Linked DNA regions of Saccharomyces cerevisiae S288C. Changing the gene in region 1 together with any one later gene gives a genetic interaction. Each region holds a gene or a part of one and is shown in the gene's direction. Other genes may lie near its edges.

Region 1 (2,783 bases):
TCTGATTCTGCATTGTAGACCACTTCACCACGGTAATGGTTTTTGATCTCTTTGTTGGAGAATCCATTGTACGTGATGATTGTGTCCGGAGAAATCTTGAATCCGTGTGTATTTACAGATATAGATTTCAGCAGCGTAGTACATCCTGCACCGGGTCGTCCAAGCACAACAAGTAGTTCCCCCGGATTGATGCATCCGTCCATCGGCTTCAAAATTTGGAAACCGGAGTCATTATCTTCACTCTTGCCATGTGTCCGGTGGAAAAGACGTCGGGATATGCACCTCCAACTCATTTTCAAGTATTTGATGGGCATATTACCAAATGTTCCCTGATATGTTATATCGGCAGAATCACCGGAGGCACTCAAATCTTTCCAGGCGCAACCTAATGAAAACGGTTTATAGAAATCCGAATCATTCTCGCATATTTGTGCCATATTTCGTACCCATCTGACACTCGAGAAATTTTCTGATCGAGGATCCAATGTCTCATCGTAGTCTGGATCATTGACGTCCAAAAGGATTGGGTTAACTCCCTTGATATCACTAGCGAAAATTGACCGGCTCAATGACGATGAAGAAGCAGCAGTTAGTGTATTCGGGTCGCCAGTGCCGGTAATACGCTTTTCTTGCGATAAAAGGGAAGATTGGCTCGTCAGCGTTCTTGCCAATTCTTTTATTTCTTCTTGAGCTGCCGCGTCGAGGCCTTCGTACGGCTGTGTTTCGTTAGGTGGGCCGTCCGGCGCAGCATTTCCTTGATTCAAACCCGAGTTTGAACTTGAGGGCGCTTGCAACATCCTAACAACTATGTAAGACCAGAAATTATTGTTTGATTTTTCTACTATACCGGAAACGTTTACTAAGTATAGAAATATAATAACGCTAGATATCTTCTATGGTTCTGTCACGGGGAGAGATAAGAAAGTAAGATGCTTGCCCAACCGTCCTTCCTTATATACTTACATAAGGCGCACTATGTGGGGAAAACCTATCAAATTATTGGTACTGATGACAGCAGGTGTATTATTAATACGAACAAAATAAAAATATGCCGACCAATTCTGTAGTAGTACTGTACTATATTGAATATTAAGGGTTTTTCTGGTCTTAGCGTATCCCTTTATCAGTCCGTGGAACAAAGCCACGGGCGGCTGTAACAATGACCATGGAATCATTCAGTCGCCCTAAAAGCGCATTCCACGGAGCGTTTATAGTGATCTTGGTCACATGATATACGCGTGACTTTTTTTTTATTTTTTCTCCCTGTCTTCCGCAAAAGTGGCTCAAAATTCTTCGGATTTTGGCATTATAGCGCGAATGGTGCAGCGCAACCAAACAAACACCAGTTGTCGCACCCAAAAGATGCAAAAGCGGGGAGCCAGTTAGTTTTCCTTCAAGTTTTGGTTGAAACAGCCTTTAATATTTTATAGAAAGGTAAACTATCTGCTCAGTGAATAGTATCTGTAAGTCAGGCATACATTCGAAACACTTCCAAATACAAAATAAGAACGCGCAACGATGTCGTCATCAGTGCCATACGATCCATATGTGCCTCCAGAGGAGAGTAACTCAGGCGCAAACCCAAATTCCCAAAACAAGACTGCTGCTTTGAGACAAGAGATTGATGACACGGTGGGAATAATGAGAGATAATATCAACAAGGTTGCTGAACGTGGTGAAAGGCTAACATCCATTGAGGACAAAGCTGATAACTTGGCTATCTCCGCACAAGGATTCAAGAGAGGCGCCAACAGGGTCAGAAAGCAAATGTGGTGGAAAGATCTAAAAATGAGAATGTGTTTATTCTTAGTTGTTATTATTTTACTAGTGGTAATTATCGTTCCTATCGTCGTCCATTTCAGCTAACGCTCATCGGTTCCCGATGCTAATTCTAAAAAATATATACAGTAGTCATAATAGTAATAATAATATAATCATAATTTATAAATTCAGTAAGAAGCAAAATGTAGTTTAATATAGTGTACACTAATACGGCGCGCGGTTAATATCTTCCATAATATCGATTTCATTATCATACTATTGACAAATACTTCTATTATTAATTAACTATGTAGTTTCATTTTTTTTTTTCTCTTTTTTTGTCATTTCTTTTTTTAGCATTCATGTACAATTTTGTTTCTCGCGCCATCAGTTTTAGTGGCCGTCTTGAACGACTTGTTGGGCAACAAGGTCAACTATTCTCTTAGTTGAGGGCAAGGATAACCACGCTGGTATATAGGCTTCTACTTGGTCAAATTTTCTTGTCTTTATCAAACTGAATGGGTCAGTAAATGGACCTGTTTCTGGAGTGATAAATATACTGCTGCTATGCTCGTGACCCTTAGAATCATTACCTGATGAAGATAACGCAGCTTCTTTCTTAACTATATCAGCAACGTATCTTAAGATTTCCTGTGGAATTGGAGACTCATAGTCTGCCACCTGGTATTGTGAAATCAATTTTTGCAATTGTGCAGGTGTTAGCGAATAACAAATTCCTCTTAAGATATCAATGTCTTCGATAGTATACTTACGGACTTGCAGTAGCTTAGCGGTCTGAATCAAATGTTGTAAGCACTCAGTACCATCTGTCAAGCCATGCGTCTTGCACCATTCCTCTAATCTAGTAACGTTGTAGTTCAATTGAAGACCCCTTTTCCACGACAAGAAATTACGTTTCATGATTAATTCGTTAAAACAAATTGCATCCACATAATTCAATAAGGTTGTGACTACAGCATGGAACACTTCATTCTCAATATGAAAAGATTTCATGCACCAGT
Region 2 (5,613 bases), on another chromosome or scaffold:
ATTCAAACAAACAGACACCGGTTCTTGGGTACATAACATTTGTGCTCTATGGCTTCCAGAGCTATACTTTTCAAACTTACATTATATGGAACCTATAGAAGGCGTTCAAAATGTTAGCGTATCACGATGGAAACTTAACTGCTACATCTGTAAAAAGAAGATGGGTGCTTGCATTCAGTGCTTTCAAAGAAACTGTTTTACAGCATATCATGTCACGTGTGCCCGTCGAGCTGGTCTCTACATGAGTAAAGGGAAATGCACTATTCAAGAATTGGCCTCTAATCAATTCTCCCAAAAGTATTCAGTCGAAAGTTTCTGCCACAAGCATGCACCTAGAGGATGGCAAACGAGTATAGAAGGTATTAATAAAGCTAGAAAATACTTCTCTCTACTCTCTACATTACAAACCGAAACTCCTCAGCATAATGAAGCTAATGATAGGACAAATTCAAAATTCAACAAAACAATTTGGAAAACACCTAATCAAACGCCGGTAGCACCACATGTTTTTGCTGAAATATTGCAAAAGGTCGTTGATTTTTTTGGCTTAGCTAACCCACCAGCAGGCGCATTTGATATTTGCAAATATTGGTCAATGAAAAGGGAGCTTACAGGAGGTACCCCATTAACTGCCTGTTTTGAAAATAATTCATTGGGGTCCTTAACCGAGGAACAAGTGCAAACAAGAATAGATTTTGCCAATGATCAGCTCGAAGACTTGTACCGGCTCAAAGAGCTGACTACTTTGGTGAAAAAGAGAACACAAGCTTCAAACAGCTTGTCCAGATCCCGAAAGAAGGTTTTTGATATAGTTAAATCGCCCCAAAAATATCTTTTAAAAATCAATGTACTGGATATCTTTATAAAATCTGAACAATTCAAGGCTCTTGAAAGATTGGTTACTGAACCTAAATTATTGGTTATTTTAGAAAAGTGTAAACATTGTGATTTTGATACTGTCCAAATTTTTAAGGAGGAAATTATGCATTTTTTTGAGGTTTTGGAAACTCTACCCGGTGCATCAAGAATACTCCAAACTGTCTCATCAAAGGCAAAAGAGCAAGTAACAAATTTAATTGGGCTCATAGAACATGTAGATATTAAGAAGTTGCTATCCAGAGATTTTATAATAAATGATGACAAGATAGAAGAAAGACCATGGAGTGGCCCGGTGATTATGGAAGAAGAAGGTTTAAGCGATGCAGAAGAACTGAGTGCAGGGGAACACCGTATGCTGAAGCTAATCCTTAACAGCGGATAAAATAAAGGTTTTAATATTGCATTATGTATAATGAGTATGTATTTTTATGCTATTCTTGTAAAAGTTTGGCTTATTATTTACTTTCATGGAACACTTAGTAAAAATAACTTAGAAAGGTCGTCTTTTCTTTATTCTTTAGCATTTCAATACCGAACTAAATATCCGTTTTTATAGTTTAGTTGGTTTTGTTTAATTTCTAGAATCCTGTTCGGCGCTTTTGTTAAAAGTAAAAAATGAAAATTCAAACGAAATGAACCTAATCACGTTAGAATTTAAATCTTGGAATATGTTAAATATAAAACAAGAAGAGCAAGCAATACTATTTCTGACTAATTCTCTATACACATAAGAGCAAAACAAAATGTTCGGTAGCAAACGTCTGAAAAATGTTAAGGAAGCATTTAAGTCCCTAAAAGGCCAAAATTCAGAGACACCCATTGAGAACTCAAAGGCGTCTTTTAAATCCAAAAATTCAAAGACATCTACTATTTCCAAAGATGCGAAATCTTCCTCTTCTTTGAAGATTCCTATAAGTTCAAATAACAAAAATAAAATTTTTTCACTAGCAGAAACCAACAAATATGGGATGAGCAGTAAACCGATCGCAGCCGCTTTCGATTTCACCCAAAATTTATTGGCAATTGCTACAGTCACAGGGGAAGTCCATATTTATGGCCAGCAACAAGTGGAAGTGGTTATAAAACTGGAGGATAGATCTGCTATAAAAGAAATGAGATTTGTGAAAGGTATCTATTTGGTGGTCATTAACGCAAAAGATACTGTGTATGTTTTATCGTTATATTCTCAAAAAGTACTTACAACAGTGTTTGTTCCGGGGAAAATAACATCAATTGACACAGATGCATCCTTAGACTGGATGCTAATCGGCCTTCAAAATGGTTCAATGATAGTTTACGACATAGATAGGGATCAACTTTCCTCCTTCAAATTAGACAACCTACAAAAAAGCTCATTTTTTCCGGCTGCAAGACTATCACCTATAGTATCCATTCAGTGGAACCCTAGAGATATTGGAACTGTTTTAATATCATATGAGTATGTAACTCTAACATACTCATTGGTTGAGAACGAAATCAAACAATCCTTCATATACGAATTACCACCTTTTGCTCCAGGAGGCGACTTCTCAGAAAAAACCAATGAAAAGAGAACTCCCAAAGTTATTCAGTCCTTATATCACCCTAATTCACTGCACATTATCACTATTCATGAAGACAATTCCTTGGTTTTCTGGGATGCTAATTCAGGCCATATGATCATGGCAAGGACAGTGTTTGAGACAGAAATCAATGTTCCACAACCTGATTACATACGCGATTCTAGTACTAATGCTGCCAAAATTTCGAAAGTGTATTGGATGTGTGAAAACAATCCAGAATATACTTCACTACTCATCTCTCATAAGTCAATCAGCAGAGGAGATAATCAAAGTCTCACTATGATCGACCTCGGTTACACACCTAGATATTCAATAACCTCTTATGAAGGTATGAAGAACTACTATGCAAATCCGAAACAAATGAAGATATTTCCCTTACCAACCAATGTGCCAATAGTGAATATACTACCAATTCCAAGACAGTCCCCGTATTTTGCAGGATGTCATAATCCGGGGTTAATTTTGTTAATCCTAGGTAACGGTGAGATAGAAACAATGCTATATCCTTCTGGAATATTTACAGATAAAGCCTCTTTATTCCCTCAAAATCTTTCCTGGCTGAGACCATTAGCCACGACTTCAATGGCCGCTTCTGTACCAAACAAATTATGGCTTGGTGCGCTTTCTGCAGCTCAAAACAAGGATTATTTGTTGAAGGGAGGGGTTAGAACAAAAAGGCAAAAACTTCCCGCTGAGTACGGTACAGCATTCATTACCGGCCATTCTAATGGCTCAGTTAGGATATACGATGCTTCCCATGGGGATATACAAGATAATGCTAGCTTTGAAGTGAATCTATCAAGAACGTTGAACAAGGCCAAAGAACTAGCAGTTGATAAGATATCTTTTGCCGCAGAGACTCTCGAGTTGGCGGTGTCAATTGAAACAGGAGACGTTGTTTTATTCAAATATGAAGTAAACCAGTTTTACAGTGTTGAGAACAGACCAGAAAGCGGTGACCTGGAGATGAATTTCAGGCGGTTTTCTTTGAATAATACGAATGGTGTTCTCGTCGATGTGAGAGACAGGGCACCTACCGGTGTTAGGCAGGGATTTATGCCATCAACTGCCGTGCATGCCAACAAAGGGAAAACATCTGCAATCAACAACAGTAATATTGGATTTGTTGGAATCGCATATGCTGCCGGAAGCCTTATGTTGATCGATAGAAGAGGTCCTGCAATCATTTACATGGAAAACATTAGAGAAATCTCGGGAGCTCAAAGCGCATGTGTTACCTGCATCGAATTCGTAATTATGGAGTATGGAGACGATGGTTACTCTAGTATATTGATGGTCTGTGGTACTGATATGGGCGAGGTAATCACATACAAAATTCTTCCTGCATCAGGTGGAAAGTTCGATGTGCAACTAATGGATATTACTAATGTTACCAGTAAGGGTCCGATACACAAAATTGATGCATTTTCAAAGGAAACAAAATCTAGCTGCTTGGCAACTATTCCAAAAATGCAGAATTTAAGTAAAGGCCTTTGCATTCCTGGTATTGTATTAATAACTGGATTCGATGATATCAGATTAATAACACTGGGCAAATCTAAAAGTACACATAAAGGTTTCAAATACCCGCTTGCCGCGACAGGTTTATCTTACATCTCAACCGTTGAGAAAAATAATGATAGGAAGAACCTAACCGTAATAATTACATTAGAAATCAATGGCCATCTAAGAGTTTTTACTATTCCAGATTTCAAAGAACAAATGTCTGAACATATTCCATTTCCAATTGCCGCAAAATACATTACAGAATCATCTGTTTTAAGAAATGGTGATATAGCGATTCGAGTGAGTGAATTTCAGGCGTCACTATTTTCTACTGTCAAGGAACAGGATACGCTAGCGCCAGTTTCTGACACACTGTACATCAATGGAATCAGGATTCCCTATAGGCCACAAGTAAATTCATTACAGTGGGCAAGAGGCACTGTATATTGTACTCCCGCTCAATTAAATGAATTATTGGGTGGCGTGAATAGACCTGCATCCAAATACAAAGAGAGCATCATTGCTGAGGGAAGTTTCTCGGAGCGTTCTTCAGACGATAATAATGCGAACCATCCGGAACACCAGTATACCAAGCCCACCCGTAAGGGCAGGAACAGTAGTTACGGGGTACTAAGAAATGTTTCTCGAGCTGTAGAAACTAGATGGGACGCCGTTGAAGATAGATTCAACGACTATGCTACCGCCATGGGAGAAACAATGAACGAGGCTGTTGAGCAGACTGGAAAAGATGTAATGAAAGGTGCCCTTGGTTTTTAAATACATACACTAATTCATACAGGGTAATGAGCAACTTCCTTCTATACTTATTTTTTTTTAGTTCTATATGCTTTATAAATTAATTTGAATCGATTTATTTTTCATTATACATGTCTAGTTTTACGAAGGTTTGTAAATACATGAGCTATCAAGTTTATAATCCTTTAATTAAACGAGTGACCTCATTTAGACCATCTTCATGAATTTGTGATAACTTTTCTTGAACAATAGGAACAATGTCAGCCGCACTAACCAATTCACCATCATCATCGGCAAATTCTTGGCCCAATCTTTTGACACGTAATTTACCTTCTAAGTACTCCTCCTTACCGAGGATTACGGCAATGTGACAACCCGCTTTTTCAGCAGCATCGAATTGCTTCCTAGGATTAGCCTTGGCCTTATAGACATATTCAGCTTCAATGCCAGCATCCCATAATTGCTTAGTAACCTTCATTCTTTCGGGTAAATAACCAGTCCAGTCCTTACCACCACCAAAAGCCATAACGAACACCTGTGTAGCCGTTGGCTTTATAGTTGTAGAGGAATTAATTCTTTGTTTGATCAAAGAAAATATTCTTTCAACACCAAATGAAATACCAACACATGGAATTTGAGTAGATTTTTTGCCGGAAGCTTCAGAGAACATGTTGACCAAATTATCATATCGACCACCGGCTGCAATAGAGCCGACACCAACGAATTCTGACGCGTCTTCTGCAGATTTGGCCTTCTTCTTCAATTCTGAAGCATTCTCTGGTGGAGCAGATGCAGAAGTAACAACTTCATAGATCAAACCTGTATAGTAATCCAAACCTCTTGCAAGAGAAAGATCAAAAGAGATGAATGAGTCAATGTCAAATGCTTCGGTATACTTCATCAAAGTAGC
Region 3 (3,652 bases), on another chromosome or scaffold:
TTGAATTCTTTTTTGTAATTCTTTAGCTGACTGGGCCTCTAACTCTTCCAGTTTTTGTTGTCTTGCTAAAATTCTTTCATGTCTCAAGACATATGGAACGGTTTCTGAAATATTTCTTAACTTGGTACGCTCTGGTAAGTCCGGAGAGTTCAAGAATTTTGGTGAAGATTCTGTTTTGATAGATCTTATCAAATTTTCATTTTCTTGTTTTATTTCTCTACCCAACTGTCTCACGGGAGACATTTCCTGTTCATTTTCTGCTGAATCATGTTCGCCATTGTCTTCGTATTCGTTTTCCTTAAAGTTTCCACTTACTTGGTTTCTTGGTGTGTCCGCTCTCAAATTGTTTGCAAGAGTTTGAGAAGAATTGAATTGACCAGTGCTTATCAAAGAGGCAAAGTTGCTTAAACTTGGAGCATTTGACTGTCTCTTTGTAGAATTAGGACCAATTTCTTCAGCGTTGGCCACGGACGATAGTTTTTCGGAACGGTAATTCTCGTAAAGCAAATTTTGCGTGGTGTCTTTGAATTCTTGTAAGTGAGAACCAAACAGGACGTTTTTTAAAACTTTCAAATCCGAAATTTTGTCGTCGTCGATTGATATTATCCCCCACGGATACTCCCTAACGTATCTACCTTCACTATCTCTGGTATCTGAAGTTATAATAGCAAATGGTTGCAAGGATGCCAAGGCTTGATTCTCTTCCATGGATTCCAAATCATCATCTTCAGGGTCAACCTCAAATTTGTAAATTGGGACGTTGTATCTTTCCACATCAAACATAATATTTTTCCTGAATTGAGTTAGCTCCTCCTTGGTGAATGAGTCAGCTCTTGTTATTATTGGCAGTACATTTGTGTATTTGGAGATGCTTTTCATGAGCTCTACATCGACTTCTCTCAGACCGTGTCCAGTGGGTTCAATAAAATATAATGCTACGTGAACCCTGGTGTCCTCAAACCTCGGATTCCTTTTAATTCTGGTTTCCTCAGCTAAAACAATGTCAAATTGTTGTTCTAAATACGACATAACTTCCTCAGAACACAACGAATCGTCCAAGTTTTCGCCTATACCATGCGTCATAATCAAGTTGAAAAACACGGTATCATCCTCGTTCATTTCTGGCTTTCCTTGATCTTTGTTGCCCCCAAGTTCTAATGAAGTGGAGGTGATGGTAATACCTGGTTCCAAATTGGCTCTCATTGGATCGAATTCAGAAACATAAGATGGAATCCCATTTTTCGAATTAAATGAAACAACTTTTGTCGGAGCAATAACTTTTACTTCTGGGTTAGAGCTAATACTAGCATTTGATTTACCGTATTGATACTTATGCGGAAAGATCTTAGTTTCCAATAGATTGTTAGCAAAGGCGGTCTTTCCTGTACCTGCTGGCCCACATAGTAACATTGTGTATGTGATCCCACGTTTATGTTCTTTCTTTCTACGAAATAAGTTAATTGGCGGTGTTGAAGCAGTGCTCATGATTAATAATATATTTTTCTAGCAATTATAAGCAGATCTTTGGGGCTCTTGTTTTATTATTTCACTTGCTGGGTACATTGATCTTGCTCGAAAGCTTGTTATATTCTTTTCGCAGTTTGGCACTTTAAAAATCGCGCGGTTACCCGCAAGCAACGCCAGTTTTTGTCAAGAACCAAATTGCACAACTATATCAAGAATGAAAGCAGAAATATGGACGTGATTCTGAGTTTAAATGGTGCCAATTGAGCAATTTTATCGCGGATTATAGAGCATGTCAGATTGGAAAGTGGACCCAGATACCCGCAGGCGTCTTTTGCAATTGCAAAAGATTGGTGCAAATAAGAAATGTATGGATTGTGGTGCGCCAAATCCACAATGGGCCACGCCTAAGTTTGGAGCTTTCATTTGCCTTGAATGTGCCGGTATCCATAGAGGGCTTGGTGTGCATATATCTTTTGTAAGATCTATCACTATGGATCAGTTTAAACCGGAGGAACTTCTTCGTATGGAAAAAGGTGGTAACGAACCTTTGACTGAATGGTTCAAGTCGCATAATATTGACCTGAGTTTACCACAAAAAGTGAAATACGATAACCCCGTCGCAGAGGATTATAAAGAAAAGTTAACATGTCTTTGCGAAGATAGAGTATTTGAAGAGCGTGAGCATTTGGATTTTGATGCTTCCAAGTTATCAGCAACCTCTCAAACCGCTGCATCCGCTACGCCTGGTGTTGCTCAAAGTCGAGAAGGGACACCACTGGAGAACCGTCGATCTGCAACACCAGCAAACTCTAGTAATGGTGCCAATTTTCAAAAGGAGAAGAACGAAGCTTATTTTGCTGAGCTGGGCAAGAAGAACCAATCTAGACCAGATCATTTGCCCCCTTCTCAAGGTGGTAAATATCAGGGCTTTGGAAGTACACCCGCAAAACCTCCACAAGAACGGTCTGCAGGGTCCAGCAATACTTTGAGCCTGGAAAATTTTCAAGCTGATCCTTTGGGAACATTGAGCAGAGGATGGGGCCTCTTCTCCAGCGCTGTAACCAAATCGTTCGAGGACGTAAACGAAACGGTTATTAAGCCTCACGTCCAGCAATGGCAATCCGGAGAGTTGTCAGAAGAAACGAAGAGAGCAGCTGCCCAGTTTGGCCAAAAGTTTCAAGAAACGAGTAGTTATGGATTCCAAGCATTTAGTAACTTCACTAAAAATTTCAATGGTAATGCAGAGGATAGCTCTACAGCAGGGAATACAACCCATACAGAATATCAAAAGATTGATAATAACGATAAGAAGAATGAACAGGACGAGGACAAATGGGACGATTTCTAATTTTAATATAGTTTTTCTCAACATTCAAGGAAAGTTCAATTCACATTGTAGCTATAATGGAGAAGTGGTTCTGTAAAGTTTACACGTAATACTTCTGTCTCTAAATTTGTATTTTTCATATCTTGACAAGAAGAGGTTTACTCTCTAGGATTATAAATAAGTCTACACCAGTATTCATAAATAGTTACCACAAGGCCATATCGTAAATTATTATACAACCTATTAATTACAAATAGAATTGCAATCCTTTCCCATCGGCGTTGTTGTACTGTTGCAAGGCTAATGACGGCTATTATTAAAAAATGTTTTAGACCTGGGACAATCGTTATCCTTTTCTTCATTATTTGGATGTTTGCGCCTTAAAATTATCCTGGGCACGAGTGAAACAAAGCTAAAACCTTTATTTAGCATGGCCATTGAATGTAACAATTATATATATCGCAAGCACAAAAAATCAAGGAGAGAGAACTACCACTTTGTTCATGTGTACAATGTTCATTATCTCCATAAGCAAAAAAAAAAAATAGAAAACATATGCTATAAGGTTGATATTCTCACGAGTAAGCGGCACTTGCTACTTATTGACATTGCAGATTTTTGGCTACAGAAATAGTATATTAGAGATTATAATTGCTAATCAAATCAAAATATAAAATTAGTAAACCAAACCATTTATACCCTTCCTTAGTAGTTATGGATTGTTTTTTAATGATATTTCTGCAAACCAAAGAAAGATTGTTATCCAGATAGAATTTAGTTTTGATATTCATTTTTTTGTTGAAGATTGAACGCCATATCTGGGCCTCATAATTCAAAAGACGGTGCCATTATCGGTAG
Region 4 (8,013 bases), on another chromosome or scaffold:
TCTGTGTTGTGTGTGGTGCGGGACAATCTGATGGACCCATCGGTTTCAGGTACTGGAGAAATCCAGGAGCCTGGGGGCCTGGCATTATCTCCAGTGATAAAAATGAGGGCCGTTTTCTCGGATGGGTTTCCTCTTTGATTAATGCTGCATTTACGTACCAAGGTACTGAACTGGTTGGGATAACCGCTGGTGAAGCGGCTAACCCAAGAAAAGCTCTCCCGAGGGCAATAAAGAAAGTTGTAGTGAGGATTCTAGTCTTTTACATTCTTTCACTATTTTTCATTGGCCTTTTGGTCCCATATAATGACCCAAAGTTGGATAGTGACGGTATATTTGTCTCTTCATCGCCCTTTATGATAAGCATTGAGAATTCAGGCACAAAAGTTCTCCCAGATATATTTAACGCGGTCGTGCTAATCACCATTCTTTCCGCAGGTAACTCTAATGTGTACATTGGCTCAAGAGTACTGTATAGTCTGTCTAAAAATAGCTTGGCGCCAAGGTTCTTGTCTAACGTGACCAGAGGTGGTGTTCCATACTTTTCTGTTCTATCTACATCCGTGTTCGGATTTTTGGCTTTCTTAGAGGTTTCTGCAGGCAGCGGCAAGGCCTTTAACTGGTTATTGAACATAACTGGTGTGGCCGGTTTCTTTGCCTGGCTTTTGATTTCATTTTCTCATATCCGTTTCATGCAAGCCATAAGGAAACGTGGTATATCGAGGGATGACTTACCTTATAAAGCTCAAATGATGCCTTTTTTGGCATATTATGCATCTTTTTTCATCGCTCTAATTGTTCTGATCCAGGGCTTCACCGCTTTCGCACCTACTTTTCAGCCTATAGACTTTGTCGCTGCATATATATCAATATTCCTATTTTTGGCCATATGGTTATCATTCCAAGTTTGGTTTAAGTGCCGCTTACTCTGGAAGCTGCAGGATATCGATATCGATTCTGACCGCCGGCAAATAGAGGAGTTGGTATGGATAGAGCCAGAATGTAAAACAAGGTGGCAACGAGTTTGGGATGTCCTTTCATAATTTTAGAATAATACTCCATACCACACACACACATATATATGTATGTATGTATGTATGTATGTATATGTATATTTGCCAAATCCTTGCTCAACTCTTTTCCTGTGATTATATGATTACTCCCTAGTTGTTTCGTTGTTAGCCGCCGAAAGTCATCGCCCGTAATTTCCATGGCTTACCCGACATCGGTTAGAGGAAGTTTTTGACGTGGAAGAGGGAAAGAAAGAAAAAACAGATGTGGAAAACTAGAATCCCTTTTAAGAACAATAGCACGGACCCTTCCTACAGATAAGAGGACACTGACGGCTGTGTGTTAATTATTTTCGTATTAAGCATAAAATTGGACAGTGGCATTCTTTTCTTCACCCTTCACGTTTTTTATACGTCTCATACAGTTGGGCCATTTTTTACTTTTTTTTTTGCCATTTGTATCTATCTTCTGTATTGAGGAGAAACATTTTAACTCAAGCCTAGTTAAATTCTAAATACACGCCACATAAAGAAGGCACCTGAACCTTTTCAACAAACGAGAAGCAAGAAAGGAAGAGAAGGAAAGGAAATGTTGAAGAATTCAGGCTCCAAACATTCGAACTCAAAGGAAAGTCATTCGAATTCGAGTTCTGGTATATTCCAAAATTTGAAGCGTTTGGCTAACTCAAATGCAACGAATAGCAATACGGGTTCTCCGACCTATGCATCCCAACAACAGCACTCTCCAGTGGGAAACGAAGTGTCCACTTCACCTGCATCTTCGTCATCTTTTAGAAAACTGAATGCACCTTCTAGGTCTACATCTACTGAGGCGAGGCCGTTGAATAAAAAATCGACATTAAACACACAAAACTTGTCTCAATATATGAATGGTAAATTAAGTGGAGATGTTCCCGTATCCTCACAGCACGCAAGGTCGCATTCAATGCAATCGAAATATTCGTATTCCAAGAGGAATTCTTCACAGGCGTCCAATAAGCTAACAAGGCAGCATACCGGGCAAAGTCACTCCGCATCAAGTCTTCTCTCTCAAGGTTCGCTAACTAACTTGAGCAAATTCACTACACCCGATGGTAAAATTTATTTAGAAATGCCGTCGGACCCATACGAGGTGGAAGTTTTGTTTGAAGATATTATGTATAAAAGAAATATTTTTCAGTCTTTATCAGAGGACAAACAAGAAGCTCTGATGGGCTACAGCATTGAGAAGAAATGGCTGATTGTTAAGCAGGATTTACAAAATGAGCTAAAAAAAATGCGAGCAAACACTACATCTTCTTCCACTGCCTCCAGAACTTCGATGGCGTCGGACCATCATCCTATCCTTACGGCTAATTCATCTCTTTCGTCTCCCAAATCTGTTTTGATGACAAGCGCCTCTTCTCCCACCTCAACTGTATACAGCAACAGTTTAAATCATTCTACTACTCTTTCATCGGTAGGTACGTCAACCTCGAAGGGGAAAAAATTAGTGAGCGGGAGTTTGAAAAAGCAGCCATCTCTAAACAATATTTATAGAGGTGGGGCTGAGAACAATACGAGTGCATCTACTCTTCCAGGAGACAGAACAAACAGACCACCGATACATTATGTGCAACGAATCCTGGCAGACAAACTTACTAGCGATGAGATGAAAGATTTATGGGTAACTTTAAGAACTGAACAGTTAGACTGGGTAGACGCTTTTATAGACCATCAGGGTCACATTGCTATGGCTAATGTACTAATGAACTCTATTTATAAGACTGCACCCCGAGAAAACTTGACTAAAGAATTATTAGAGAAAGAAAATTCATTTTTTAAATGCTTCAGAGTCTTATCAATGCTCTCACAAGGTTTGTATGAGTTCAGTACACATAGGTTAATGACTGATACTGTTGCAGAAGGTTTATTCTCTACGAAACTGGCCACAAGGAAAATGGCCACTGAAATTTTTGTTTGTATGCTAGAAAAAAAAAATAAAAGCAGATTCGAAGCAGTTCTTACCTCACTAGATAAAAAGTTTAGGATAGGGCAAAATCTTCATATGATTCAAAACTTCAAAAAAATGCCCCAGTATTTCTCTCATTTAACCTTGGAAAGTCATTTGAAAATTATTCAAGCCTGGTTATTTGCCGTTGAACAAACTTTAGATGGAAGAGGAAAAATGGGTTCCTTAGTAGGCGCGTCGGATGAATTTAAAAATGGTGGGGGTGAAAATGCGATTCTAGAATACTGCCAATGGACAATGGTTTTTATCAATCATTTATGCTCTTGCTCTGATAACATAAATCAAAGAATGCTATTAAGGACGAAACTAGAAAATTGTGGAATTTTACGAATTATGAACAAAATAAAACTGCTAGATTACGACAAGGTAATTGACCAAATTGAGTTATATGACAATAATAAACTTGACGATTTTAACGTTAAATTAGAGGCCAACAATAAGGCTTTTAATGTAGATTTACACGATCCACTATCATTATTAAAAAACCTTTGGGATATATGTAAAGGTACCGAGAATGAAAAGCTTTTAGTATCTTTAGTTCAACATCTTTTCCTTTCTAGTTCAAAGTTAATAGAAGAAAACCAAAATTCCTCTAAACTTACTAAGCAATTGAAACTTATGGATTCTTTGGTGACTAATGTTAGTGTTGCCTCAACTTCTGATGAAGAAACTAATATGAATATGGCTATCCAGCGGCTTTACGATGCCATGCAGACTGATGAAGTTGCACGTCGAGCTATATTAGAAAGTAGAGCTCTAACGAAGAAATTGGAAGAAATTCAGGCAGAAAGGGATTCTTTAAGTGAAAAGTTAAGCAAGGCGGAGCACGGACTCGTTGGACAGTTAGAAGATGAGTTGCATGAGAGAGATCGTATTTTAGCTAAGAATCAGAGAGTTATGCAGCAGCTGGAAGCTGAGTTAGAAGAGTTGAAAAAGAAGCATCTTTTGGAAAAGCATCAGCAAGAGGTAGAATTGAGAAAAATGTTGACTATATTGAATTCGAGGCCTGAAGAAAGCTTCAATAAGAATGAAGGCACCAGAGGTATGAACTCGAGCCTAAATTCTTCAGAGAAAGCGAATATCCAAAAGGTGTTACAGGACGGATTATCAAGAGCAAAAAAGGATTACAAGGATGATTCAAAAAAATTCGGCATGACACTTCAACCTAATAAGAGATTAAAAATGTTAAGAATGCAAATGGAAAATATTGAAAATGAAGCCAGGCAACTAGAGATGACAAATTTTGCTGAATTTGAGAAAGATCGTCTTGAACCTCCAATACATATTAAGAAGCCCAAAGTGAAGAAGATGAAAAATAAGGATAGGAAACCTTTAGTCAAGCCTCAAGAGGCGGACGTAAATAAACTAAATGACCTAAGGCGGGCTTTGGCTGAAATCCAAATGGAAAGTAATGATATTTCCAAATTTAACGTCGAAGAACGTGTTAATGAGCTATTTAATGAAAAGAAATCTCTGGCTTTAAAGAGACTGAAAGAACTAGAAACAAAATACAAAGGATTTGGTATTGACTTTAATGTCGACGAGATTATGGACAGTCCAAAGAAAAATACTGGGGACGTGGAAACGGAAGAAGACGCTAACTATGCCAGTCTTGACCCTAAGACATATCAGAAAAAGTTAGACGAGATTAATAGAATAACGGACCAGTTGTTAGATATTCAGACTCAAACCGAACACGAAATACAAGTAGAAGAAGATGGGGAAAGCGATCTTTCCTCTTCAAGTTCTGATGATGAAAGTGAGGAAATATACCAAGACGCATCTCCAACTCAAGAACTAAGGAGCGAACACTCAGAGCTATCTTCAGGATCAGGTCCTGGGTCTTTTCTCGATGCCTTATCTCAAAAATATGGTACTGGTCAAAATGTTACTGCATCGGCTGCTTTTGGAGAGAACAATAACGGTTCGGGTATTGGACCTCTACATAGTAAAGTTGAAAAGACCTTTATGAACAGACTCAGAAAATCCACCGTGTCTTCTGCTCCATATTTAGAGGAGTTAACACAGAAGGTAAATAAAGTTGAACCATATGAACAAAATGAAGATGAAGGTCTAGATAAAAAATCTTTACCGGAAAACAGCACGGCAAGTGCAGCTTCCGCCTTTGACAAAGCTGAGAAAGACATGAGACAACATGTGGAAAACGGAAAGCAAGGGCGTGTGGTAAATCATGAAGAAGATAAAACAGCGGATTTCAGCGCTGTGAGTAAACTGAATAATACAGATGGCGCAGAAGATCTCTCTACTCAATCATCTGTACTCTCCTCACAGCCGCCACCGCCTCCTCCTCCTCCTCCTCCAGTTCCCGCCAAATTGTTCGGTGAATCGTTGGAGAAAGAGAAAAAGTCGGAAGACGACACTGTCAAGCAAGAAACTACTGGGGATTCTCCTGCTCCTCCCCCTCCACCACCACCACCTCCTCCTCCACCCATGGCATTGTTCGGCAAACCCAAGGGAGAAACACCACCACCGCCGCCGCTACCATCTGTATTATCTTCATCTACTGATGGCGTCATTCCGCCAGCTCCACCTATGATGCCGGCATCGCAAATCAAATCAGCTGTAACATCACCATTACTTCCTCAATCGCCCTCATTATTTGAAAAGTATCCTCGTCCACACAAGAAATTAAAGCAACTGCATTGGGAAAAATTAGATTGTACTGATAATTCTATTTGGGGTACAGGTAAAGCTGAGAAGTTCGCAGATGACTTATACGAAAAGGGTGTTCTTGCTGATTTAGAAAAGGCCTTTGCCGCTAGGGAAATTAAATCATTAGCAAGCAAGCGCAAGGAAGATCTGCAGAAAATTACATTTTTATCCAGGGATATTTCTCAACAGTTTGGTATCAATTTGCATATGTATTCATCACTTTCGGTTGCCGATCTGGTGAAAAAGATTCTAAACTGCGATAGGGATTTTTTGCAAACACCGAGTGTTGTTGAGTTTTTGTCAAAATCTGAAATAATTGAAGTTTCTGTTAATTTAGCTAGGAATTACGCCCCGTATTCGACAGACTGGGAGGGCGTGAGGAATCTCGAAGATGCCAAGCCCCCTGAAAAAGATCCAAACGATTTACAGAGGGCTGACCAAATTTATTTGCAATTGATGGTTAATCTAGAATCATACTGGGGTTCACGTATGAGAGCTCTCACAGTGGTTACTTCGTATGAAAGAGAATATAATGAGTTATTGGCAAAGTTAAGAAAAGTCGACAAAGCTGTTAGCGCGCTTCAAGAATCAGATAACTTGCGCAATGTCTTTAATGTTATCTTAGCAGTTGGTAATTTCATGAACGACACTTCTAAGCAGGCACAAGGTTTCAAACTTTCAACCTTGCAGAGGTTGACGTTTATCAAGGATACTACCAATAGCATGACCTTTCTAAATTACGTCGAAAAAATTGTCAGGTTAAATTATCCAAGCTTCAATGACTTTCTAAGTGAATTAGAACCTGTATTGGATGTCGTGAAAGTTTCCATTGAGCAGTTAGTTAACGACTGTAAGGACTTTAGCCAATCGATTGTAAACGTAGAGCGTTCAGTTGAAATTGGTAATTTAAGCGATTCCTCAAAGTTTCATCCATTAGATAAAGTTTTGATAAAAACATTGCCCGTGTTACCGGAAGCCAGAAAAAAGGGGGACTTGTTAGAAGACGAAGTTAAGCTGACTATCATGGAATTTGAAAGTCTGATGCATACGTACGGTGAAGATTCTGGTGATAAGTTTGCAAAAATCTCATTCTTTAAGAAATTTGCAGATTTTATAAATGAATACAAAAAAGCTCAAGCGCAAAATCTAGCCGCGGAAGAAGAAGAAAGACTTTATATAAAGCATAAGAAAATAGTGGAAGAACAGCAAAAAAGGGCACAAGAAAAGGAAAAACAAAAAGAGAACAGCAATTCGCCTTCATCTGAAGGAAATGAAGAGGATGAAGCAGAAGATAGGCGCGCTGTTATGGATAAACTATTAGAACAGTTGAAAAATGCAGGTCCTGCTAAAAGTGACCCATCTTCCGCCAGAAAGAGAGCCCTAGTGAGGAAAAAATATCTTTCTGAAAAAGACAACGCTCCACAATTACTCAACGATTTGGATACTGAAGAAGGGTCTATTCTTTATTCTCCAGAAGCTATGGACCCTACTGCCGATACAGTGATTCACGCTGAATCACCCACTCCGCTTGCCACAAGGGGTGTTATGAATACCTCTGAAGATTTACCATCGCCATCCAAGACATCTGCGCTGGAAGATCAAGAGGAAATTAGTGACAGAGCTAGAATGTTATTAAAGGAGCTAAGAGGCTCTGACACACCAGTAAAGCAAAATTCCATACTCGATGAACATCTAGAAAAATTGAGGGCCCGCAAGGAAAGATCCATAGGTGAGGCTAGCACAGGTAACAGGCTAAGTTTCAAATAAAATATTAAACCAAAAAATTATGACAACAGTAATACCAAAACAAACATCCAAACAAGCACTAGTACAAAGAAATAGTCACGAATCATTAAATCACATATATATATATAATTTTAATGTTTATAGATCACTTATGATACACTTTACATTCATCTTTACTCAAATGATCTCTACTATTGCATTTTTGAAATAATTCCTTTTATTATGTGCCATTGTTTCCATGTGACTACCCGGAACTTGTATTTCGCGTTCGCTGAAGCACCTTTAAAACATGGCTCTCGTTTACCTAAGTGACAAGCACAGTGATTCGTGCAATAATATCATTTGTCACTTGCAGCTGTAGCAACGTTGATTTCCATCCAAAAGTTGTAGAAAATTTTGACCTTTAGTTCACTGGGATATATTTTCCTTTACTAGCTGTGTTTGATAAAGGTTTCAATATGGATGCTTCTGAGGAAGCAAAAAGAGTATCAATACAGGTTACATCCCTGTCTACGCAATTGATCGAGAGCGTGGATAAACAGTCACACTTAGAAGAACAGCTTAATAAATCCTTAA

The links.
Region 2: mutations in SNC2 (region 1) and SRO7 together harm fitness more than expected from each alone (negative genetic interaction), as found in Saccharomyces cerevisiae (3 studies listed by BioGRID).
Region 3: mutations in SNC2 (region 1) and GCS1 together harm fitness more than expected from each alone (negative genetic interaction), as found in Saccharomyces cerevisiae (4 studies listed by BioGRID, with this or other methods).
Region 4: mutations in SNC2 (region 1) and BNI1 are lethal when combined (synthetic lethality), as found in Saccharomyces cerevisiae (4 studies listed by BioGRID, with this or other methods).

What each region holds. Positions count from the first base shown.
Region 1 is NC_001147.6:929,817-932,599, reverse strand, and holds SNC2 (SNAP receptor SNC2), read left to right. Parts: upstream 1-1,518; coding exon 1,519-1,866; downstream 1,867-2,783. Other genes in the region: ATP-binding cassette multidrug transporter PDR10, read right to left, coding at 1-797; MYO2 (myosin 2), read right to left, coding at 2,155-2,783. UniProt on the Saccharomyces cerevisiae protein: SNC1 and SNC2 are vesicle-targeting proteins essential for normal secretory traffic between the Golgi and the plasma membrane. They may also be involved in vesicle fusion.
Region 2 is NC_001148.4:632,501-638,113, forward strand, and holds SRO7 (Rab GTPase-binding protein SRO7), read left to right. Parts: upstream 1-1,622; coding exon 1,623-4,724; downstream 4,725-5,613. Other genes in the region: NTO1 (Nto1p), read left to right, coding at 1-1,261; HTS1 (histidine--tRNA ligase), read right to left, coding at 4,879-5,613. UniProt on the Saccharomyces cerevisiae protein: Acts as an allosteric regulator of polarized exocytosis by promoting the targeted fusion of vesicles with the plasma membrane.
Region 3 is NC_001136.10:50,278-53,929, reverse strand, and holds GCS1 (GTPase-activating protein GCS1), read left to right. Parts: upstream 1-1,756; coding exon 1,757-2,815; downstream 2,816-3,652. Other genes in the region: septin SHS1, read right to left, coding at 1-1,485. UniProt on the Saccharomyces cerevisiae protein: GTPase-activating protein (GAP) for ARF1 and ARF2. Involved in intracellular vesicular transport. Required for transport from the trans-Golgi network.
Region 4 is NC_001146.8:128,967-136,979, reverse strand, and holds BNI1 (formin BNI1), read left to right. Parts: upstream 1-1,596; coding exon 1,597-7,458; downstream 7,459-8,013. Other genes in the region: arginine permease ALP1, read left to right, coding at 1-1,040; guanine nucleotide exchange factor SEC2, read left to right, coding at 7,896-8,013. UniProt on the Saccharomyces cerevisiae protein: Required for the assembly of F-actin structures, such as actin cables and stress fibers. Nucleates actin filaments. Binds to the barbed end of the actin filament and acts as a leaky capper, slowing both polymerization and depolymerization.